Linked DNA regions of Arabidopsis thaliana. The protein of the gene in region 1 purifies or fractionates together with the protein of each later gene. This does not show direct contact. Each region holds a gene or a part of one and is shown in the gene's direction. Other genes may lie near its edges. The genes, in order: POLD2 and AT5G63960.

Region 1 (11,250 bases):
TAATTTTTAAAAAATGTTTTAATTAATCAACAATAATCATGAGAAACAATCTATACTATATAAAAAGGCAGGTTTCCCAGTGTGAATAAGTTTTCACCTAATGCAGCACGAGTGTTGAATTAGCATTGTGCAAATTTGGATTAGTTGATTAATCAGCAACCACTTTTGTCCTCAGAAATCGAATTAAAATTTTCAAAAATTAATTGCCAGCCAAACAAGATATATACACAACACAAGTTTGGAACTGGGAACCACGTCAAGTAAAGAGATGGTGGGGCCCATAACCCATACGGCTCTAACGTTTTTGACAACATTGCTTCTTTAGCCGCTCGTGTGGTCCGGATCCAAAAGAGAGCACAAGACTCGTGTTTCCGTATACAAACCCAATTCTTTCATTGGAGTTTCACCTCTCTTTCTTTTTCTCAGCCTTTGGATTTCTTTCATATCCCAACTCTTCACGTGTACATGTACATCCGATGGCTATTATCCGTTTTAAATCTTAGGTAAACAAGATATAGTATGGTAAATATATTGCTTATTCTAGTTCAATTGTTGGTATGATATCTATACCACACAAATATAATATTAGAAAGTCTTGGCTTAATTATACAAAACATCTCTTGTTAGTAAGAATGATATATGTATGCCCTCTAACATGTTCTTGTTCAAGTTTTTCAACTAGTGTGTGTATATTTATACTTTCTATATAAAATATATAGGACGTTACTTGACTCGAAACAGATGTATTGTTTTCTATTTGTTTGTGATTGGTTTGTTTTGTATAAGACAGTGTATCGCTTGTCCAATATATTATATAGTGTGTTTGGATGTGATAAGTACTGTAGAGATTTCAAGATAATTGTTTCTTATATCCAACAAGCGTTAGAAAATCAAACAAGCATAGACATACACTACACATTATAATTCACAAATATTGTACAAAAACACTTAGGAATTGAATTTGTTAAAAGGTCAATTTGATTCGCAAGGTAAAAAGGAAAAGAGATAAGATAAAAGTAAACCAAGTAAAATGGAGAGTCGTCAGGAAGTGGAACTGCCTCGTGCACCCGAGGGTCATGCCATTTCCATGTCCTTACATTATTACGTCCGATTTCGTACAATCTTATCTTCCTTTTTTTGGTGATAAAGTGTACATTAATTCTTATCTTTTCATGTCTTGTTACTATTCATAAGTTCGTTTAAATGGTTATTAACCTCTCATGACATTTCACAAGTTCATTTCATAAGTTCGTCTTGTTACTATTCATAAGTTCGTTTAAATGGTTATTAACCTATCATGACATTTCACACACATATATACGTATTTAAAATTTAGTTTTATATATACCACTAGCTGTGACATTTGTGGTTCTTAATTATCAAGACATGTCTATACGTTAAATTTACACCTTGCATATATAATTCTTTCAAATTATGTCATCCAATTTAGTTTAGTTAAACATGTACTATCTGAGATTCTCGTTGTTAAGGCTGTAATCATAGATTATAAAAAGTGTTGGTAGTGGTCCACACAAATTGTATTTTTATGTTGAACTTTAGAGATTGCAAATGATAAGGTGGTTGAGTTTGTGTACATTACATGGGGACAAGTTTCTGCAATCCTATAGGCATTTATTTAATTGAAGCCACCTGGATTTATGCGTAATACCTTAACTAAACACACATTGCCAAATATACTAATGACAACTTTTACTTTATTTCGACTATGTTGAGATAAAAAATACATTTCAATTGGAAATATTGTATGTGTCACCTTCATGAATTATATAAACTCCAACTTTAATATTGTATCGTTTTTACACCATGTGTACACATTTACTTGTATGAATGCGAAAACGATTACAAATTACATGCAATATCGTACGTGGATCTCTGACCACAAAAATTTAATATCAATGATACTAAATTACAATATGCTAAAAATATAATGAATTAATGTCTTAAGACATTCCAAAACGAGGATTTTGTTATAGTTGGAGGGGTCCCTGGACTTCCTTTGGATTCATAAATCTCATGTCTTCGGAGACAGCCTGACACATCTCTTTCATCAATATTCAATATAAGTGTAATCTCATATTGTATGTTAATTATTCAAACTATAGTTTATCTATTGAATCTCAACAAGACATCAATCAATATTATTTGCCTTTATTAATAATATATTCAGGATCTTTACGTTCTGCTACGATATAAACTAGAAATACGAGTTGACAAAAAAGAAAAAGAAAAGGAAAAGGATTAAACATATATTACCTAGTTGTCACTAAAACTTGTACATCTAAAATAGTTGATTTTTCTTTACCATTTTCTTCTATCTTTTCTCCTATATAACCTTAACCTTATCACATTTCACTTACCAAAAAAAATCACCAACTCTCTCTTCTGATCACATAAACCCTAATTTTTATTCTTCTACAAAACTATGGAAATTGAAGCTACTACTGTTCAGAAAAGAAGAAGCTTACCAACAATAGCCATGCACAAACAGTCAAGAACACTCACCAAATCTAAACCTAAGATCCGAATCATTCACATATTCGCACCGGAGATCATTAAGACCGATGTCGCCAACTTCCGGGAAATCGTCCAGAATCTCACCGGGAAACAAGATCATCATCACCACGATCTCCCCCACCAAAAGGGTCTCAAAAGAAACCCTAGATCTAGAAGAAGTCATGATCATCATGAAGTCCATGACATGAACAAGAGCCATGGATTTTGCATAAACTCAGATGAAGAGGAAGAAGGGATGGTGTCGATGACGTGGAACGGAAATGGTGACGAGAGCTCCGGTGGGTTCTTGAACGGGTTAGGAGATCTCGACGGCTTCATTCAGGAGCTAGGTGAATTTCCTTATTTACCCTTCACCATTGACCCTGCCGTTGCTTCTTCCTCCCACTTACATGGCAACGTTTTCGCAGAACCTCACCATTACGCCTAAAACGTCTCAAGCGGAAGAATCTTTTAAACATTTTATTTCTTTAAAATAGGTTAAAACTTTTAATAATTTTTTGTTTTCTTCTTTTATATACTTTCTAGAAGCTAATTTTTGTTTTTTTCGATAATTGAAATGTTTGACTTTCTAGACAATATTCTTGTGGAATCGTGGGAGGTTCGGGTTTACGATTATTACGAGTTCTATTTCTGCATAATTTTTTCCCTCTGGTTTTGTATTTTTTATATGATTACACTATAATCTAGTAAGTAGGTATGAAATTTTATAAATCTATATAATTCAAATCCACATTATAATAATGATAAATCACAAATAGAATTTCGCAAACTTTTTACCAAGAAAATCCTTATTAAATATGTAAGGATTATGAAAATCTATAACAAAATATCATTGGGATTGGCTATAGCGTAATTAACTAACACTATCTGAATATAATGGACGTTTAGAAATTCTATGTATACTTTTTTCCTCACTTGCGATGTGTTTTTCTCGCTTATCCAAATGGACTGAGAAATAGACTTATTGATCGATTGACTGATACTTAACATAAGATAAGTACAAATGGGACCATAATTAATCAAGATAACAAATATAATATTTTAAAATTACAGATATGAGCCGACAAGTAACCACAATTACAAACGTGTATATATGCATGTGTGTCACGGTGGTGATGGTGATGATGCATGATGATGATGGAACTACACATGACACATCAAAAGATAACCCGCATCATGTATTCATATTTGATCAAGTTGGCATTATAAATCAACTAAGAAAAATATTAAATCTGAGCTGCCTCTTACATAGAAAGAGTTTATTAAGATGATCAAAACAGAGAATCTGCAAGTACTTGGATAACTTGAGAAGATTTGCCGAGCGAACACAAAAGAAGGAAGGGGTTTTGATGTATGGAGATGACCCTCAAGTTATTAACGTCATACATTTACAGACACCAACTTGGTGGTTGGTTCTTGTAATATAACACACAGAGAACATAGGAACAAGAACAAGAACAATGGCTAGTCACATCTAACTATCATATTCGATAGTTTCTACAACGGTCGATGATGGTGTTTCTATCCTCGTTAGAACTTCAGGCACTCCTTCGGTATCTCTTACTATCTACGAGAAAAAACAACCAAAAGCGGATAAAACTCGGTTAGTGCAACGATCTCAGTCTCTCTCACCATTCTTAACAAAATATTCAACAAACTTACAAGAATCTCTTCATCTAGATAAGATATCATGAAAAATCTTTCAAAGGATCCACCTGAAGCAAACATCACTAGTTGGTTCAGTGCAGATTTGAGCGGAAAATGGTTAAATGTATAAAAAATGGATAAAGTAGCTTACTAAGGGGAATTCTCAGACCACTGGCTAGAGTATCCTTGATAAGAGCAGGAAGCTGCTGCAACGTTGTGGCAGCTTGTCCCAAAGCGCTTTTTAGCTGTTCAGGAACTGCTTCTTCAATGACTGTTGGAGTTTCAAGCATACCTTCAACATATTCTTCTTTCAATCTCAGTGGTCCCTCAACAGTCAATTTTGATGACAGAATGATTTTGCTTTCTATCTGCATTTTTCTGCCACTGTGAGAAACCTCCTTTGTGATTCTGAGTAAACAAATAATCAAACTTTGGAAAAAGGGTTTGAGTGTGTTACCGAGTTCAAAAGTTTGATATTTGCAGTCGCCTTTGCGTTAGCATCCTTGATCAGTATCTCCATTCTTGATAAATTCGCCAATGTTGAAGGAAACCTCCTGAAACAATACAATCAGATGGCAAAACACTTAAAACGTTGAATAAAGTTTGGTGAGCTTTAAGATGAGAAAATGATAAGTACAGACTCGAATATAACTCGAGCAGCGAGTAAACCAGGACTTCCAGATCCAAACCACTCAAAATTCCACCTGCCTTCGAAACAAGGAGACCTGGAAAGCTATAGGAACCAGTTAAAAGACAATTATCCTAAAACCGAAGCAAAAAATTGTAACCAAAAGATTAAAGAAGGACCTACGTGGTTGGTCTCGGAGTTGGATTAAGCCGCTCTAGACTCGTAATCCTCTCATTAACATCGATCCTTTGCATATTAGTTGTTTTCCCTGTAACTAAAGCCTCAAAGCCTCCAGCATCCTTCAACTGTACATAGATGGCTTCAGGACAAAAATAGTTTGACAGTTCCAAACACACAGAGCTCTGTTCCTATACTAAGAAAAACTCAATTGAGCTGAAACATGATCATTCAATTTCTGGACTTTGAGAAAAAAATTCTCTTTTGTTATCTGCAAAATCTCGATTACATCTAACAAATACACAATTCACCTAAAGTCTTCCCATTTATCCTCAGCTTACGACAGAGATAGTAAAAGAGACACAATTTCAAAATCAGAGTAAAATTGAAGATCTAAACAAATCATATATTCACATAACAACCAAGTAATTCAAAGAGTTTATAAAAGTGAGAGAAGTTATACAGCGAGAAGTAGCGATTCCTTAGCAGAAAGGCGCTCCATTTCTCTGGCGTAAACCAAAGGAGATCCTTGAACTGTTTCCTGCACCATTGCTCTTAAAACCCTTCTCCGGCACGAATTCTTCCAACCCTGCTTCACCACCGGAACATTGAGACAAAATCTCGACGGTGACGCTGAGGTTGAAAAAACCAATCGAACCGCAGACGTACCAGGAACCGAACCATGTATCAACGCCATTGAAGAAGAAGAAGAAGAAGAAGGTGAAAAACGAAAGATTGAGAATTTGTTTGCTTTGAGCAACCAAACCTCAGGAAAAAAGAGTTAAGGTGGGAGTGTCTGGTTCAACCGGTTTATATCCGGTTCAAATTAAACCTCTTACAGTTAACCGGGTTTTGTGTTTGGTTCGATTGTTCATAAAAGAAAGAAGACTCTTGTCGTCGATTAGTGCCAAAGTTGAAAGTTGAAACCTTTTCTCAGAATTTTCTGCTCAGTTCTGAGTTTTTTTTTCCCGCCATGGAAATCGACTCCGAGAAAATTCACGAAAGGAAGCAATCCGATTACAATTCGCTGGTACGAACTCTATTACTTTATCGACTTGTAGTGAAAGACAAATGTAATCATTCGTGGTGGTGACTGTTTCTACTTATAAGTGTACGGGCTAGGGTTTGTTATCTGATTCTGAGTTTTTGCAATTGAAGCAGGATGAGAGATTCGAGATACAGAAGGAGATGTACAGAGGTCAGCAATACAGTCAGATTTACTTTGCTCGTCTTCATCTCATGAGAACACTTCTCTACTCTCTTGCTCCTACTTGGAAATCTCATTTGCCTGGTCAGTGCTTTTGTTTCTCTCATATTTAGCACAACAACGAAGAGCAGTTTTTGAGAATTTTCTTGGGTTAGATATAATTAGGTGAAATCAGTGATTTTTAGGGATTTTTGCTATCTTATGGATTACAGTTGAGAAAGATTGCTAGTATTGTTTAAATTATAGATCTGAATGTGAATTTCATTTTTGCAGTGTGTAAGGTTTTGGGACTTGAAAAAGGAAAAGAATGCATAATTGTGGGAACCTTGTTCAAACACATGAAGCTTAAACCTTGTGTTCTCGATGAATATTCTAAAGAGGTTGGTTTTTATTAACCTCTACTGTTTTTTTGAGCTATGTCTATGCTGAATCAATCTGAGTATATTTAACATAATGCAGAGGTCAGTTACTCCGCTTGTTAAACCACATAACTTTATGCATCCTGATGATAATCTGATCCTCGAAGACGAGAGTGGGAGAGTTAAGCTTGCTGGTTCCGCACTTTCACCTGCGATTTATGTGACAGGTATTGCAAATGGGTTCTTACTGTTTTTACTGTATGATTTTTTCCTTCTTTACAATGTGGCAAATCTTAGAGATTTTGATCAAGCTTTCCTCTCTTAAAAGATGGGTTCTTTAAGAAAATTAACGTTGAAGCCTCCCGTGCATTGTAGGTGTTGTTGTTGCACTGCATGGGAAGGAAACTAATGCTGGTGAATTCTTTGTTGAGGATGTACTAGAAGCTGGTTTACCACCTCAGATTGAGCGGCCTATCGATCTACGTAAGTCTAGCTATGTTCTCTTCCTTTTGCTAACCTCATGGCTCAATCATTTCTATAAGCAATCTCTCATGATACATCCATATTGCATCTGCAGAGGAAGATAAATATGTCGTGTTATTGTCGGGCCTTTGTATTGGAAGCAAATCGGCTAATCCCCTGCAGTTTCAGCTTCTTGTTGACCATATAACTGGGCATCTCGGAGATGAGGAGGTTCAAATCTCTTAACTTGCAGGTTGTTCAACATATTTCTTTCCTTAATTTATACTTTATGGTTTGAACAGGAACAAGGCCTTGCAGCACAGATAGTTCATGTAGTAATTGCTGGAAACTCTTTTGAATTTCCCCGCAAACTCATTAATGGCCAGGTACTTATAACTTTTGTTGCTGATATATTCTCAGATACAGTTCCAGTAATTATCTGCCCCAGTTATGTCTTATGATCTTTATTGGTTGATCTTTGTAGAACTTGGCCTCGAAAGATCAATCGACACTGTATGAGCCCATCAAAGAGCTTGATATCATGTTAAGCCAGGTCAGTTAACTGGATCTACGTGTGTGTTATCGATATCTATTGAGATGAAAGTTCAAACTCCTGTTTTTTTTTTTGTGGATTGTTTTTAGATAGCTGCAGGAGTTTCAGTAGATATCATGCCAGGCACGAATGATCCAGCTAACTTCGCATTGCCTCAGCAGGTCTGCAAATACATAAGAAACATTCAAAATCCCGCATTTTGTATCGATAACTCTGATTCATAGGCCCTTCTCTTTTGTTCAGCCTCTGAATAGATGTCTTTTCCCTGGATCTTCACCTTATAACACCTTCAGATCATGTACAAATCCTCACTCATTTGATGTCGATAATATCAGGTATGATTATTATTAATAGTTGAATACAATCTCTCTGATTTTACAACGATAAAATTCTTGGGTTTATCTGACTGAAAACCTCATATGGGGGCATTTTGCAGATTTCTTGGAACTTCTGGTCAGAACATCGATGACCTTGGCAAGTACTCAGAGGCTAAGAGCAAGCTTGATTTTGTGGAAAGAACGCTGAGGTGGAGACATCTTGCCCCAACTGCACCTAATACACTCGGTAAGAATTCTCCTTGCCCTGCAAGATTACTTTTTTGAACTAAGCCCATAAAAAAATGATCCTTTGAGTTCTATTTGGTTTTGATTCACTTGCGTACAGGTTGTTATCCTTTCACCGATAGAGACCCTTTCTTGATTGAAACCTGCCCGCATGTCTACTTCGTCGGGAATCAAGATAAATATGACAACCGTTTGATAAAGGGTAAAAGCACCTTACACAGAGATTAGAAATAACATTCTCTTTTGTCAAACATCAGGCTTTAACTTTTCTTGGGTAAATATGAATGCTGCAGGGTCAGAAGGGCAGCTTGTCCGGTTGATCTGCATTCCTAAGTTCTGTGAGACCGGTATTGCTGTTGCGGTGAGTTTAAAATTTGAGCAGAATTTGAGACCATTTACCCTCATAGATTGCAGATTCTAAATCTCAAAATCACCATGTCTATTTCGCAGGTGAACCTAAGAAATCTGGAATGTCACACTTTAAGCTTTAGCACTCAGATAAACCAATCATAACATTGAGTTGCTACTTTGGTAGATTATTTCCTGTCTTGAAGATGTAATGTTGAGCTTTTTCAGTAACACACTCCTATGTTCTAACCAAATGTTTGTTAAAAATCCTTTTTCTTGAGTGGAACTTCCAAATCTTTGGATATATTGGTAATGCTCATTGTTTTGTCCTAATTTTCTAAAAATCTCGACACGAGTTCTTAGGTAGTCACATAAAGGACAAAAAGGGCCGACCAGATAGTGTCGTGGTCGTTGGTCAGAAGAACGTGAAAAGACTGCAAAAATAATCTTAAAAAAAGCAACAAGTGCACAGAATCTCATGCAAATGTCTCTCTCTCTCTTCTCAACGGCTATATCCATCCACACTTATTACATTATAAAATTAATTAAATGCAATAATGTAACGCATTATATTCTCCAACGGTCCATTTTCCCGCATTTCCCTAACCTTTCCTTTATAACGCAAAACAGTTTCATCTTCTACACTTAACACTTTAATCCTCTCTTTCTCTCAATTTCTCACTCACTACTTGTCTTTCTTACATTACCGAGAATATGGATCTTGTTGTTATCACAGAGACTACTATTCCGACGAAAATCACTCACGTGAACAAGAAATCCTCCGACGAATTGCTCCGTAAGTTCGCCGATCCTGACGACGTCGACGAGTCGTCAAAGTCAACGAAACGCCGGAAGAAATCAGCTAAGAGTTCTTCTCGAGAGAAGGGCGTTGACATCGAAAGTAACACTAGTGGCTTAGTGGAGAGGAAACGGCTCTTGCTTGCCCCGGCGAGTAAACGGAGATCTCTGTTTATCCGGCAGCTTGCTTCTGGAAAATCACATCTCAGGAACAAGTCTCTCGTCAGAACCATCGGCAAGGTATAATAATTACTGAATCCAATTTCCATTAATTGATTTGTAAATTTCTTTATTTTTAAAATCATACTCTGCTCTAATTGGTCAGACATGGCGTAAAACAATGGAAGGAGCTTCAAGAGTTTTCATCGAGAAGCATTATAACAGACACAGGCGTCTCACCAACGACGTCGTTTAAGCTTTTTCAATCTTTTTTTCTTTTCTCACTATTTTACATTCGTTTGTATTATTCTCACGTTTAGTGTTACATCTTTCTCGTCTTTTTTTTTCTTTTTTTTTTTTTCCGTTTTAACTCAAATCACGAAATCCTTTGCTCTTTTGACCAAACATAGAAATATATTTAAAAAATCAGATATATTTGAAATCTCCCATTACAAGTTTTCACCAAATTAAACAAAGCATTAAAAAGAAAGCATAATTAAAGAACATGATGACCATCATGATTTAGAATTGCTAAATTATAAACTTAAAAGCATTTCCTGTGAACAATCGCCCCTCCCTGTTCGTCATACTCAGCTTTAGTAATCCACATCTGCATATAGACATCGCAACTTTACATTACAACACACCAAAAAGAGATATCTATACGCACGTTAAATTTATAAAACAGTTAATAATATTATCATATGTACCGGTGCAAAGCTGCTTAGAGAAGCCAGAATGGAGCCTCCAACCCAAACACTATATTTCCTTTCGGGAGGAGCCACAACTTTTATCTTCATACTAGGCGGTGCAAGCGCATTGATCTCTTTGTTCATCCTATCTGCAATCCCCGGGAACATCGTCGTGCCACCACTCAACACAATGTTTCCATACAAATCCTTCCTTATATCCACATCACACTTCATGATCGAATTGTAAGTCGTCTCATGAATACCAGAAGTTTCCATGCCAATCAAAGACGTCTGGAAAAGAACCTCAGGGCACCTGAATCTCTCAGCTCCTATCGTGATCACTTGACCATCCGGAAGCTCGTAGGTTCTATCGATTGCCGAGCTCGTTGTAGCCTTCTCCATTTCTTGCTCGTAGTCAACAGCTATGTAACAAAGCTTCTCTTTGATGTCTCGGACTATCTCACGCTCGGCGGATGTGGTGTATGTGTAGCCACGTTCCATCATGATTTTCGTCAGATACTCGGTTAGGTCACGGCCTGCTAGATCTAGACGCAAGATCGCATGCGGGAGTGCATAACCTTCGTAGATTGGAACTGTGTGGCTCACACCATCTCCTGAATCCAACACAATACCTAACCACGCAGAAATTTAACAGATTTAGGACCATTGTTATTACCAAAAAAAAAAATCACATTTCAAGATTTTCATAAAAATCACATTTATATAAAAAAATATATATATTTAAAGATTTTGCATGTGAACGATATTACATACCTGTGGTACGACCACTGGAATAGAGAGAGAGAACGGCCTGAATACCAATATACATACTAGGAAAAGCAAATGACTCAAACATGATCTGAGTCATCTTTTCACGATTGACCTTTGGGTTAAGAGGAGCTTCAGTGAGAAGAATAGGGTGTTCTTCAGGTTCCAAACGCAGCTCATTGTAAAAAGTATGGTGCCAAATCTTCTCCATGTCATCCCAATTGCTAACAACACCGTGTTCGATTGGGTATTTAAGTGAAAGAATACCTCTCCTGGCTTGAGCTTCGTCTCCCACAAAGGTATCCTTCTCATCCATTCCTACCATCACTCCCCTGTGTCGTGGACGACCCACAA
Region 2 (13,783 bases), on another chromosome or scaffold:
TACAGAGCTGGTAAATGTACTCTGACAAAATTATAGGGAGGATATGTTTACCAATTCTTGTCACCGAGTAACCCAGGGCAGCTGAAGTTGAAGAGAGCCCACAGTTCCTGAAAATATGAAGATGGAATCAATAGACAGCATTAGAATTGCAAGAACTGACCAACGTTAAATGTCATAGACAATAATACCTTGAGATTGTTCTGGATTGGTGTACCACTTATTATAATACGGTGAGAACTTGGGATCTCAAGCAAACTCTTCGCCCTTTGTGTGTTGGGGTTCTTAATAAGATGTCCCTAGAAGTGTAAGCGGAAATACATTTTATTGATATCAGTAGGGGGAAAATTCAGAACCTACACTAATGGTAACATCTCAGCGCTTGATGGACAATAGTGCATACACACTATACCAACTATTAGTGCAAAGACCTCACAAATGATAAAATATTGATGTGTTTACCTCGTCCAGAATCATGTAGTCCCATTTGTTTCCATCTTCATCATCCTCATCAGTATAATGGTCGTCACCTTGCAAAGCCTTTGTATTGTTCCGCACAATATCATAGGTTGTTAGAAGAATACCTTTACCCTACAAAAGTTAAAGATATTCAAGTGGGAAACCCATACCATTTTTCAAAAACAATCAGAAATTAACTCCGGAAAAATGATAGATTATTTCAGTTTAATCAATCTAAGCAATATTAAAATACGCTTATATAAAGATGATTTACTAGAGGAAGGGGCAACATTGTCACAAATCAAGTGAAAACGTAAATGAAATGCAGTTGTATAGTTAATGTATCAGTGAGATTTCTCAGGAGAACAATGAAAGAAAGAACATGAACCTGCAGAATGTGGTGGAGATCATATTCCCGGGCTTTCGTAGAAGTACCGTAGTATCTGTAAAAAGGAAAGAAAGACAATCAGTATCACTAAAACACTAGTTCAGTATATACAAATTAAAGAAAGTCGCTCTTACTCCCTAGTCATTTGTGAAAGTCCCACGGTAGCTAATTCTTTCATCCAGTGAGGCAGCAAGGTTTTTGGGGCCACTACCAGAGCACGCTTGATCAATTTGGAGTGGAATAAACCAGCAAGAAAACTACAAATCTGCAATGCGAATCAACCAAAATCAAAGATACATTATTGATAACGAAAAGAAAAGTGCAGGTTGCAGATTTCCGTACCTGCATAGTTTTACCTAAACCCATATCATCTCCAAGTATTCCACCTTTCCCTTGGGTATGCAATGACCAAAGCCAATTCAACCCTTCCCTCTGATGTGGATATAACATTGTTGCAATCTTTCCAGGCAATGTGTAAGACAAATTGAGGCCAGTTAAAGTGATAGACCCTTCATCTTCCAACGATCTCTCATCATAACCATGTCTTTTGGCGTTATAAGACCGAGCTGGCTTATTAATTTTCATTTCAGCCGCCTTTTTCCCGGACAAAATGAGACAGTCATCATCATCATCATCCTCGTCTAAGTCTCTTAGCTTGGCAGCATTAGACCTTCCGACTGTTCTTATCTTCTCACTTACCTCTATGTGCCTGGTCGTCTTCATACTTTGGTCGACTTCCTTGCATTGGCTCTTCCCACGGTCAAGATTGTATCCCTGCCTATTATCTTCAGAGTTATCGTCAAAGTGCCGACCAGAATATGAGTTTTGCTTTCCAACATTCGAAATTCTTTCTTCCCATTCCCTTGAAAATTCCTTACTAGTTTGCTCTTCCCGGATGGCAAAACCAGATTTGCCTTGCTTGTCCTTGATACTATTAACGCCAGCATTATATGTGGTAACCACATCTGGTGAGGACTTAGATAGATCCGATAGCAAGGAAAATGAGGATTTGGCATCCTCAAAATCAAATTTATCAACCTGGCTCTTCACTCCACATGCATCAAAATCATTGCTTTGGCTATCCTTCTTCTTCTGAATCGACATTGTCCCAAGCTTAGAGGTCAAATCATCCAAAATACCCATGATCTCGTTCCTTCCTCCATCACCTTGCATTTCCTCTTTTTGCTTCAACTGAGGTGAGGGCGAACAAAAGTCTGTGATTATCGAAAAGTTAGGCTCGCCAGCCAGCTCAGTGTTAGCTTCCTTTGATTCATCCCAAGATGTGAATTTGTTCCCAATTCCAGCGCTGTCTAGTGATGTCTCTCCTTTAACTGATTAGAGCATCATGCAAAAACAAACGTATTCAAGTAAAGTTATCTGACAAAACGCAGTATAATAACAGCTATAAAGACCGAAAATCAAACACCAGACTAGAAACTCAGATTTCGAAGAAACCCTAATTTCAAAGTAAGCTACTAGGACAAAATTGAAATACATCATCAACGGAAACACCAATTTCTTTCTGTAAACTAAGAGACATGGGTTTGCGAAAACCCTAAAATCGGGTGAAATCTCAAAATTACCTGGGGAATAGAAATCAACCAAATCAGGATCGTCATATCCATCAGCTTCGTCTTCCTTTGGCAAGGCCTTGCAAAGACGACGTCGTCCAGCAAGCTTAATCATGGACTTCTTCGTCTCTTCATCTTCTCCATCTGAAGTCCCCAAATATAATAAATAAAACTCAAAATCAAAGACAGATACGAATCCGAAACCATAGAGAAACGATAGAAGAGAACAATCGTACGAGAAGAAGAGGGAGGCTGTCTAGGAGGCGCAGAAAGATCCTGGAGGATACTGTAGTGACGATCGTTCAAGCTCCGAGGTTTTCTTCTATGGCTGGCCGTATTTTCCGCCATTGCTACACCGTTTTCTGGAGATGAGTTTGTGTTTCCCGATGATCGATTGTGATAAATGGAGAGAAGAGTGAGAAGAAGAAGAAGATGATGAAGAGAATGTTTGGAATCCCGCCTTCCTTGGCTTTTTTGAATTTTGAAGATTTCTCAGTTCCGAGACAAATGGCTCTTGTGCGCTCTCTCTCTCTCTCTCTCTCTCACATTTAACCTACAATACAACAAAATATGATTTTATTTCCTTTTTGGTCAGATATAATAGTATAATATTTTTTGCGTTGGTCTGAATTGTTTAGTAACAAGAACATCCGATGTGGTACACTTTTTTTACAAGTCATTTCAGATATTACAAGTCATTTCAGATAATACAAGTAATAATTTGTTCAATATCTCATGATGGAACCAAAAAATGACGGTTTGATGGAGGCGGTCGCTTTTTGGAATTTCCGGCTCTATTCATGGCTTTGGATGATCGGGAAAAGGAAGAGAATGTGTGAAATTGTGAGCTCGTGGACGTGGAGGGTTCATTACTTACTACCTTGGTAAATACTTGGCTCCTTCCATATACAGTACAACAAAATTTGCTGCAAGAGTTTGGAGACTCTATTGATTTGAAGATGCTCGACATGTTCGAGTTCTGCTTCCAACATAAACCAAGTTCCATTATGAAATGCGGCATCAACCTTAGCTAGTTAGCTACCAAGTGTACCATCACTTGCCTAATTGTCTTGGTCATGAATCCTGATATACTAAAAATAAAATAATTAAAGAGAGGTCGAATTCTCTTATAATTGTAGATCAAATGAACAATGAACGATTCTATGTGTATCACGATCGAACTCTATTATAAGGTTGTCTCTTTTGATCTACAATTATTCGTTTTTTTTAGCAATCAAAACTTCGTATAAGCACTTAAAAGTCTTAAACATTGGTCATCCGACAAAATATATTTTAATTCAAAATAATTGCAACCACAATAAGAAAAAGTCCGTAACGATTTGGTTAATAATAGCATTGTCTAGGGACTTAAAGAAAAGTTCCTTAAAAAACTTCACATTGACATCAAATCTCTAATAGCAAAACCCTTAAAACTGGCGGGAATCGGAGTGGTGTATAGTCTCACTTTCTACTTCTCTCAGACCTCCACGAGCTCACAAAATCACACACATTCTCTTCTTTTCCCGCTCACCCAAAGCCATGAATAGATCCGGTATTTCCAAAAAGCGACCGCCTCCTTCGAATACCCCACCACCGGCGGGTAAGCATCGAGCCACTGGTGATTCAACACCATCTCCGGCCATCGGAACCCTAGATGATGAATTTATGATGGAAGAGGACGTGTTTCTGGACGAAACTCTCTTGTACGGCGACGAAGATGAGGAATCCCTAATCCTCCGTGACATTGAGGAGCGTGAATCGCGTTCCTCGGCTTGGGCTCGACCTCCGCTCTCCCCCGCGTATCTCTCGAATTCACAGAGTATCAGTTGAGTACTATCTTAGTTTGATAAGGGCTTCTTCATCTTATGATTGCTGGAAAATTTCTCAACACTTGGATTTGTGTATTTTGATTTGTTTAGTTTTCCAACAATTGGAGATTGACTCTATAATCGCGGAGAGTCATAAGGAGCTGTTACCGGGTTCCTCAGGGCAAGCTCCAATCATTAGGATGTTTGGGGTTACCAGAGAAGGTGAGTGTTTTTAAACCTCTTTTTCTTTTGCTCTTTGTGGGGAACGATTTCGTTGGATTTGAGTTTCTGGTATATTGTCAGGTAACAGTGTGTGTTGCTTTGTTCATGGATTTGAGCCATACTTTTACATTGCTTGCCCTCCTGGAATGGGGCCAGACGATATTTCTAATTTCCATCAGAGTCTTGAGGTATTTACTATGTAGATCTCTGTATATTTTGTACTTTGATCTCGCTGGTTTTGTTTTAAAGCTCAGCTGATTCATTCAGGGAAGGATGAGGGAATCCAATAAAAATGCCAAGGTCCCGAAATTTGTTAAACGTATAGAAATGGTGCAGAAAAGAAGCATTATGTATTACCAACAGCAAAAATCCCAAACTTTTCTGAAGATTACAGTTGCATTGCCGACTATGGTGGCAAGCTGTCGCGGTATGACTTCCCAAATATTTGTGCGCTATGTGTCTACTATCTCTTATCCTTTACTGATTTAAAGTCATTGTAATTATTAAATTGGTAGGCATCCTTGATAGAGGCCTACAAATTGATGGATTGGGTATGAAGAGCTTCCAGACATATGAAAGCAATATTCTTTTCGTTCTCCGTTTCATGGTTGATTGTGATATTGTCGGAGGAAATTGGATTGAAGTACCTACTGGGAAGTATAAGAAAAATGCAAGAACTTTGTCATACTGCCAATTGGAGTTCCATTGCCTGTATCCTCATCGGAATTTCTTTTCTGGAACAATAATATGCTTATAGTAACATATTGTATTTTATGCCAGTGCTTTCTTTAACATGGGTTTTAGGTACTCAGATCTAATCAGTCATGCTGCAGAAGGTGAATACTCAAAAATGGCTCCATTCCGTGTACTAAGTTTCGATATTGAGTGTGCAGGTCGTAAAGGACATTTTCCGGAAGCTAAGCATGATCCTGTAATCCAGGTTAGCTGTTTTTGTCATTTTTTGATATACCTTTTTGTTACCTTTGTTTGCATTCTTCTTGAAACAACATTCTCATTGCTTTTCTAGATAGCGAACCTTGTTACTCTTCAGGGAGAGGATCACCCATTTGTACGCAATGTCATGACTCTTAAGTCATGTGCTCCAATCGTAGGCGTAGATGTCATGTCTTTTGAAACAGAAAGAGAGGTCTTACTAGCTTGGAGGGTATTGTTTTTGCCTCTTCATTATTATATATGCATTACTTCTTCTTCATCTGTTTTTTGGCACCTTGCTTGCAAAAGTAAGTTCTATTACAGTTGTTAAATCCTGGAGGACTCAGTGAAAGATTTAGTAAACTTTATGTTGCTACTGCAATTTTGTTGTGGGCTTGGTGAAACATGTGTTCTGCTGATGTATGAGATGTATTGGCTGCAGGATTTGATTCGTGATGTTGATCCTGATATCATCATTGGTTATAACATCTGCAAATTCGATTTACCTTATCTGATTGAGGTACTTGAACATTAGATTTTACTTTTATTGACGGATCAGTATCACCTCTGGTTAGCAGAAGCGTGTTTTTCTTTCTTATAGCATTCTATATGTAATATTATGCTATGCTCCGCTGGGTCATATGGCACATGTATATGTGATGGATCTTTAACCTAGAAAATATGCTGTTTTCTGATTCTCAGAGAGCTGCTACACTGGGAATAGAGGAATTTCCTCTTCTTGGTCGTGTAAAGAACAGTAGGGTCCGGGTCAGGGACTCAACATTTTCATCAAGGTGATGTAGGAGTAACTGGTGCTTGCTAACTTCCATCGCTTTCTCTATTGTTTTTTTGTTATGCTTCATGCTTTTTGTGCCTCATGAGTTCTCTAAACTCGCATCTTATAATATTATATTGCCATGTTTCAGACAACAAGGAATAAGAGAAAGTAAAGAGACCACAATTGAAGGAAGATTTCAGTTTGACCTTATTCAGGTTTTTTGTCCTTAACAAATTCATTTTGGTTGAGTCATTCTTAGATTGTTTATTTGTAACATCAACCTGATTCGTCTTTTAATTATTGTAGGCAATACACAGAGACCACAAATTAAGTTCTTATTCGCTGAATTCTGTCTCAGCTCACTTTCTTTCCGAGCAGGTGAAACCGAGTAATTATGCTTAGAATTTCAGGTTATTTCTACTTTCCATGTGGCTAACCTGATTGTCTTCTGCAGAAAGAAGATGTCCACCATTCTATAATAACTGATCTCCAGAATGGGAATGCGGAAACCAGGAGGCGTCTTGCTGTTTATTGTTTGAAGGTACCTACTTTTATTTATTCTGGAGTAGTGCTGTCTATGTCCTGATGCATTGCCTGTTATTAGATAACTTTAAGATTTTCTAACTAGCTATCAAGCTTGTCTAACCACCTAAAGGTCCTATTGCATGTTGTCCCAAGCTATGATGGGAGTCCCAAGTCCCACCCTTTCTAGTGTAAAAGATGAACATTGATGTGTGTTTTAAAAACTTTTTTAGTAATCTCTGCTTATATTTTTGTACGTGTGGCAAGAGGAAACCTTGTAGATAAGGGTGTATAGAAATGGTTGCTCATATGTCCATTCATGATTTTTTTGAGCATGCTGGAATCTGGATGTGAGGTAGGCTTGAAGGACTTCTGGCAATTGCTGGCGATATTTGTGACACATGGAATAATGTGTTTCGTAGGATGTGTGGAAGGATTTTCAGACACTAACTTAGCTGCTTCTCTATTAATAGTCAACCAACTAAATATTACAAGAAGCTACAACTTCACCACGTTTCTTTTCTCTGTTACAGGATGCATATCTTCCTCAGAGGCTTCTGGACAAACTGATGTTTATATATAATTATGTCGAAATGGCTCGTGTAACTGGTGTCCCTATTTCATTTCTTCTTGCGAGAGGACAGAGTATCAAGGTAGTTCTCAACTTCTAGTTTCTGGATGTGTTTCAGTTTAATAAGGTGGCTGATATATTGTGTCTTTGCTTCTAGGTTTTATCTCAGCTTCTTAGGAAAGGCAAACAGAAAAATCTGGTTCTTCCAAATGCTAAACAGTCAGGGTCCGAACAAGGAACTTATGAAGGCGCAACTGTAAGTGGGTGATTTATGGATCTAACATTTCCTTTTGGCCTATCGGTTGCATTAATTCCACTGTTCCGACATGTTTGTTGTTTTGGATATGTCAAACGATATTCAGGTTTTAGAAGCAAGAACAGGTTTCTATGAAAAGCCAATTGCAACTTTGGATTTTGCTTCACTGTACCCGTCAATTATGATGGCATATAATCTGTGCTACTGCACCTTGGTAATTCTTTTGATATTTTCTTTTCAATTTCTATTTATTTTATCATCTATTGTTTATACACCTTATTAATTTGGGAGCATTATTTCCATGTTCTTGTCTTTGAAGGTGACACCTGAAGATGTACGCAAACTGAATCTTCCACCTGAACATGTCACTAAAACTCCATCAGGGGAAACATTTGTTAAGCAAACTTTGCAAAAGGTTTCCGCATTTAGTTAGATTTTTATTATCCTCAAGTTCCGCAAATTCTGTTGAATGAGTTCTTTCAGGAAATACAACCAATTAATAAATTCAGGGAAGACAGCAGTTTATTAACAAAATGAATAATTTATTTCAGGGTATACTTCCAGAAATTCTCGAAGAGCTTCTTACTGCCCGTAAGAGAGCTAAAGCAGATTTAAAGGTAAAACATTTGATTCCGAAGAAACTCTTGCAGTGTGTGCGTATCTGTATACAGCCTTTAACTACTACTATTGAAACTGGTATTGTCTAATCTAGGAGGCTAAGGATCCCCTTGAGAAGGCTGTTTTAGATGGTAGACAGTTAGCGTTGAAGGTGAACTTCTTTACTGCCAGCTTCTTTAACTTGGTCATTCAGAAAAATGATTACAATCCTCGGAAAATTTCGAACAATATCCTCCCTGTAAATTGCTCTTTTACATTTGTTTTCTATTTTTTCTCAGATCAGTGCAAATTCTGTCTACGGGTTTACGGGAGCCACTGTTGGGCAGTTACCATGCTTAGAAATATCCTCGAGTGTAACTAGCTATGGTATTTCTTTTGTGAAACTGCAACTTTTCTAGACACGTAGCCTTTTAGGTTCGTTCTGATGGATTTGTATCTTTTTGAAGGTCGTCAGATGATTGAACAAACAAAGAAACTTGTTGAAGACAAATTCACAACACTGGGAGGGTATCAATACAATGCAGAGGTACATGTTCATTGAATTATTCGTTGTATTGAAAAGACTTGAGTGAATCATTAAGTTTGCTCTTAGATTTCTCGAATTTGATGGACTATGATGTATTAGGTCATTTATGGAGACACGGATTCAGTCATGGTGCAATTTGGAGTATCGGATGTAGAAGCTGCGATGACCTTGGGGAGGGAAGCTGCAGAACACATTAGTGGAACTTTTATCAAAGTAAGTGATTTTCTAGGAGCATGTCTTAAACTTCTCCGGTTCTCCCTAATCCTTGGGGTAGAGGTGCAAGATTACGTGATTTCTTGAAAACAAAATATAACAGGCTGAATCGTTCTCTGTTTCTTGATTGTGTATGATGTCATAAAGCCCATCAAATTGGAGTTTGAAAAGGTCTATTTCCCATATCTTCTCATTAACAAGAAGAGGTATGCTGGTTTGCTATGGACAAATCCTCAACAGTTTGACAAAATGGACACCAAAGGTAAATCTTCGTGATTTTACAGCCTCTCTCTTATTCATTTCCTGACTAAATTTCAATATCACCGACTTTGGCAGGAATCGAGACAGTACGAAGGGATAATTGTTTACTGGTTAAGAACCTCGTGACTGAGAGTCTTAACAAAATACTTATTGATAGAGATGTTCCAGGGGCAGCTGAAAATGTCAAGAAAACCATTTCGGATCTTCTCATGAACCGTATTGACTTGTCACTTTTGGTGATTACTAAGGTAATATGTTTTACTTGATTTATTGTCCTGTGATGTTTGTATCGCCTGAAAGTGTATTTTAATGATTAAAGCCATCTGTTAAAACTAAAACAAGAATCAAATGGATAATGCTCCTGATGTGTTTCCTCAAATCATAGGGTCTAACGAAAACAGGAGATGATTATGAAGTTAAATCAGCTCATGGTGAACTTGCTGAACGCATGCGTAAGGTTTGTGGTACTCTTTATCTATTTTCGTCTATCATTTGCAGGATTAAGCATTTTCATTACATGTTAAGATAACTCTTGACCGTTTCCGTTCGTGAAGAAACATGTACAAATGTGTCTAGGGGAATTTTCGTTCCTTTACTCTAATTCCAGCATCTCATGGACACTCTCAAACTGAAAAATGGGAGTGCTAAACAATTAAATTTTAATTTTTGGCTTGTATAATATTTTAATATGGTTCTTTGGTCGTCTTTTTATAGCTGCACAAGTGCAGGGATTTTTCTTAAGTCATGCATAATTTTGCTGAATATATGAATTTTTTTTCCGGCTTTTTGGTGAATATATAATATCATACAAAGGTTGCTCTGAAACTTAGATCTGTTTTACGGTGTCTGATGATCTATCATGTGAATATGACAGTGTTTGCTTACATATGTGACAGAGGGATGCTGCTACAGCGCCAAATGTTGGAGATCGAGTACCGTATGTTATCATAAAAGCTGCTAAAGGTGCCAAGGTAGTTTTCATGTCAAGCTTGTGTTAGCTTTTCCATAAGATGTTAAGGTCATTCTCTTCTTCCGTGCTTATCTCATTTTGACGTCTGATAGGCTTATGAACGATCAGAAGATCCAATCTACGTGCTACAGAATAATATCCCTATAGACCCAAATTACTACTTGGAGAATCAGATTAGCAAGGTCAGTTCAACATGGCGTTTGTGTATAAGTTTATTCTATACTCTTTATTCTGGTGATTGTAGGTTAAAGGAGATGTTGTTTTCAGCCACTTCTTAGGATTTTTGAGCCAGTCCTGAAAAATGCTAGCAAGGAGCTTCTCCATGGAAGTCACACGAGGTCAATATCAATCACTACTCCTTCAAACAGCGGTATAATGAAGTTTGCTAAAAAACAACTGAGCTGTGTTGGCTGCAAAGTTCCGATCAGGTACTTTGTGGTCCCTTGCCTATGTATTATCTGTTTTCATATATGGGATCTGTTTATCAATATTCGCTTTTAACTTCAACCAGCAATGGAACACTATGCGCAAGTTGCAAGGGAAGAGAAGCCGAGTTATATTGCAAAAACGTGTCTCAAGGTATGCTGCCGTTTTTCCCTTTCCTATAGACTCTTTGATATATCTATAAAATTTGATACTTTCGTTGTGTTATTCAGTGGCTGAGCTTGAAGAGGTTTTTGGGAGGCTGTGGACACAGTGCCAGGAGTGTCAAGGCTCTCTTCATCAAGATGTCTTGTGCACCAGGTTTGCTTATATTTTTATCGATATCAATTTCTTTTAGAAATCTTTCAGCAGGTAAATAGGTTCTGATCCAATTTCCTTTCTGGATTTCTTATTGGTCTTTTACAGTCGAGATTGTCCAATATTTTACCGGAGAATGAAAGCACAAAAAGACATGGCTGTAGCCAGGCAACAACTCGACCGTTGGAGCTTCTAATAAGTATTTAAGGTTGTTTTTAGCTCTCTCTTTTTTCCATTGGTATCGTTGCTGTTACACTTTCCGCTTGATTTAGAACTTGTAGGTCTCTTTGGAATGTTATAAAAAGGACCTCTTCGGCTTATTTGTACGTAGCTGTTGATTAATACAAAAAGAGAACTCTTCTCGCATATCTCCTTGTTTCGGCAGGCTAAGAATTACATATGAACTACAACTCGAGATTTATGCTTTACAATTCTTCTGCTTGGACTGTACAATGTTCTACAGAAGTATAAACATGAAGCTCAAGTGCTTAACCATATAATTTGTCTCATCTCTAAGAATTTTTCCGAGTCAAGTGTACAGCCTTATCCTTGTTGTTATTGGTTGTCTGCATAGTGGGCATGTTGTGATAACAACTCCGCATTCCTTGCATGTCTTTATTTGAAATAAAAAGTATCGGAGATGTCACAAAATCGATCTAGAAGCAGTACAGTTCATAGAACAAGTAAGAGTATAATTGTTCCTTTGAAATTTTCACATACCGTGTGACCGCAGCTAAAAGCCATGTCCTTTGGATTCGTCAAGCAAATCGGGCATACCTTTTTGAAAAACAAAAGGAATGTAAATCTCAGTATCAGAGAAACTGAGTATACTCATTGACAAAAGAACAGAAACAAAGGCAGAAATAATAGAGTATTTACCGGCACTGTGGAAGGAGCGAGTCTGTCACTTTTCTCTGCAGTTTCTGTCATCTGATTTGGCACCGATCTAACAGCATTGTCACGCTCTATAACCTCTGGTGGTGGCGGGAGTGGCTTGTGGTGCTGATGGGAACTGCGCACTGGTTTTCTACTGTTCATAAGCACAATCAAAGGTTGGTTTAGTTGGCAAAGAATCTAATGCAATAAGACCATAAACAGTGAGTGATACAAGTAGTTTCCAACGGTAAATTTTTTATTGCATTTACTTGAGACTTAATGTAGCCTTGTATTGAAAAGGGATCTCCATGAGAGCTGCGAGTGCGAAAGCAGCCTCCTTCTTAGCCGCATCTTTGTGCTCTGACATTATCTTCGTGAAGTTTACAAACTGTGGAACAAAACACAGTTTTTCATGATTCATGTTTCAGGAACAAAACAGAGCTATTCAGGGTTTTATTATATTACCTGGAAGTTATCGAATTCACGGTGAGGAATATTGTCATCGAATTGTTTCATTGTGTCCCATGGTCCATCTCCTACTCCAACCAAGACTATCGACAATGGGTAATGGCTGGAAAATTTATATCAAACATCATTAGTATACATATGAAGTCTGATCATGAATATGAGCTTATTGAATAGTTTTACCTCGCTGCCATTATCGAGTTCATAGTAGCTTCTTCCTGTGGACTAAGTCGACCAAGCGGCACATCTGGATTTCTTGTGACCTGACCATCTGCGATAATGACGAGAACATGGTATTGCATATTGTTCTGCTCAACTATGTTGATGGCAGCATCAATAACCGGTGCAAACGAGGTAGGACCTGTGAGGGAAGAATACACTGATTAATCTTTACGATAAGAGAGAACAAAACTGCTCCATTTTTGAAAGTTCAAAAATACCGGACAACTTCAAATGTGGGACAATCTCTCTATATCTTTTAACTGCGTTTTCCAATCCGTCGCAGCTTTTGTTCTCGGGATAAAAGCTGAATACATATTGATCTCGCGTTGTTACTGCAGGAAGAAGAAAACATAAAACCATTAAGAACTTTGGTTTATCTTATTCATTCATCTTGAAAGCAAGAAATAAGAAACTAACCATCGCCAAAACCGAAACAAGGTATAAGATCATCTTCATCAAAGGGAGACAAAGTACGACCAATAATCGATATTGCTTTCTCATATGGATTCTGTCTTTTACCAATGGCATGAAGGCTTTTTCTATTGAATGAATATCTCCCTGCAATGAAAATTCAGAACATTAACCAAAACCATTGAATCTTTTCGTAAACATGTGTAGCATTTTTTATCAAATCAAATAATTACCTGTCCACTCATTGCTCTTGGTAAAGTCAATTCCTAGAATCAGATTTGAAGATTCAAGTCCAGCTTCTCTCAGAGAAGTTATCACCTAAAAAGCAAAGTTCACAAGAAATTCATCACTATGAAAGAGACTAAAATCAAGAAATAACTAAGTAAGTTTATGAGACCTGATCCAAACTGCTGAAATGATCAGCAATATACGAAGGTTGCTGATTACGTTTATTGCTCATGTTCATTGAAAAAACCCTGCAGCACAAGAACCTTCAGAAATCCAATCTTTGGAGAAGAAACCAATCAAAATCAAGAATAAAAGATACAGTTACACAAGTGGCAAGTATATATCAACCTGGAGTTTGTTGAAAACACAAAAGACTTCTCGGAATCTTTCTTGTAAGAAAAAACTTTTGTTGGAGATTATCTTCTGTAGGAAGATTAAATTATTAAAAAGATGGCACAAAAGAGAAATATGAACATATAAAAATACTTTAGCAGAAAAAAATGAACATATAAAACTATAGAAAGTGGGTTTTGTTGAATCTTGAAAGTTAGTGGAACGTGACCCTTTGCTTGCGCCGGCAAATAATCAAAACGTATTTTGCTCTCTCACACGCCATCATCAATCTAGAAATCTTTTTTAGTCTTGTCTCTGCGTCATTAATGATTTATCCATAACCCAAAATCATAGACCAAATTTCAACATGATTCATGTGGACAACGTGGCAAAGCTGTAGCTCTTGTCTGAAGA

Evidence for each region.
Region 2: the proteins of POLD2 (region 1) and AT5G63960 fractionate together in Arabidopsis thaliana (co-fractionation; one large-scale study listed by BioGRID). This does not show direct contact.

The regions. Positions count from the first base shown.
Region 1 is NC_003071.7:17,560,676-17,571,925, reverse strand, and holds POLD2 (DNA polymerase delta small subunit), read left to right. Parts: upstream 1-5,893; 5' UTR 5,894-5,960; coding exon 5,961-6,017; intron 6,018-6,145; coding exon 6,146-6,278; intron 6,279-6,467; coding exon 6,468-6,574; intron 6,575-6,653; coding exon 6,654-6,780; intron 6,781-6,928; coding exon 6,929-7,036; intron 7,037-7,130; coding exon 7,131-7,246; intron 7,247-7,317; coding exon 7,318-7,401; intron 7,402-7,499; coding exon 7,500-7,568; intron 7,569-7,657; coding exon 7,658-7,729; intron 7,730-7,811; coding exon 7,812-7,903; intron 7,904-8,004; coding exon 8,005-8,132; intron 8,133-8,231; coding exon 8,232-8,333; intron 8,334-8,424; coding exon 8,425-8,492; intron 8,493-8,581; coding exon 8,582-8,644; 3' UTR 8,645-8,769; downstream 8,770-11,250. Other genes in the region: AT2G42140 (VQ motif-containing protein), read left to right, coding at 2,444-2,962; AT2G42130 (Plastid-lipid associated protein PAP / fibrillin family protein), read right to left, coding at 4,010-4,102, 4,198-4,250, 4,334-4,550, 4,640-4,736, 4,824-4,907, 4,994-5,115, 5,451-5,684; AT2G42110 (uncharacterized protein), read left to right, coding at 9,194-9,517, 9,603-9,692; AT2G42100 (Actin-like ATPase superfamily protein), read right to left, coding at 9,981-10,046, 10,147-10,760, 10,903-11,250. UniProt on the Arabidopsis thaliana protein: The function of the small subunit is not yet clear.
Region 2 is NC_003076.8:25,595,643-25,609,425, forward strand, and holds AT5G63960 (DNA polymerase delta subunit 1), read left to right. Parts: upstream 1-3,871; 5' UTR 3,872-3,954; coding exon 3,955-4,240; intron 4,241-4,334; coding exon 4,335-4,445; intron 4,446-4,526; coding exon 4,527-4,633; intron 4,634-4,712; coding exon 4,713-4,872; intron 4,873-4,960; coding exon 4,961-5,156; intron 5,157-5,249; coding exon 5,250-5,385; intron 5,386-5,472; coding exon 5,473-5,661; intron 5,662-5,820; coding exon 5,821-5,898; intron 5,899-6,080; coding exon 6,081-6,172; intron 6,173-6,304; coding exon 6,305-6,371; intron 6,372-6,462; coding exon 6,463-6,534; intron 6,535-6,610; coding exon 6,611-6,697; intron 6,698-7,211; coding exon 7,212-7,331; intron 7,332-7,406; coding exon 7,407-7,505; intron 7,506-7,611; coding exon 7,612-7,719; intron 7,720-7,824; coding exon 7,825-7,920; intron 7,921-8,056; coding exon 8,057-8,122; intron 8,123-8,217; coding exon 8,218-8,274; intron 8,275-8,401; coding exon 8,402-8,489; intron 8,490-8,569; and 23 more. Other genes in the region: CHR24 (chromatin remodeling 24), read right to left, coding at 52-107, 189-296, 460-588, 845-899, 979-1,109, 1,187-2,175, 2,428-2,559, 2,652-2,763; RGLG3 (Copine (Calcium-dependent phospholipid-binding protein) family), read right to left, coding at 11,364-11,447, 11,555-11,611, 11,714-11,864, 11,980-12,098, 12,176-12,281, 12,359-12,536, 12,616-12,729, 12,815-12,955 and 2 more. UniProt on the Arabidopsis thaliana protein: This polymerase possesses two enzymatic activities: DNA synthesis (polymerase) and an exonucleolytic activity that degrades single-stranded DNA in the 3'- to 5'-direction.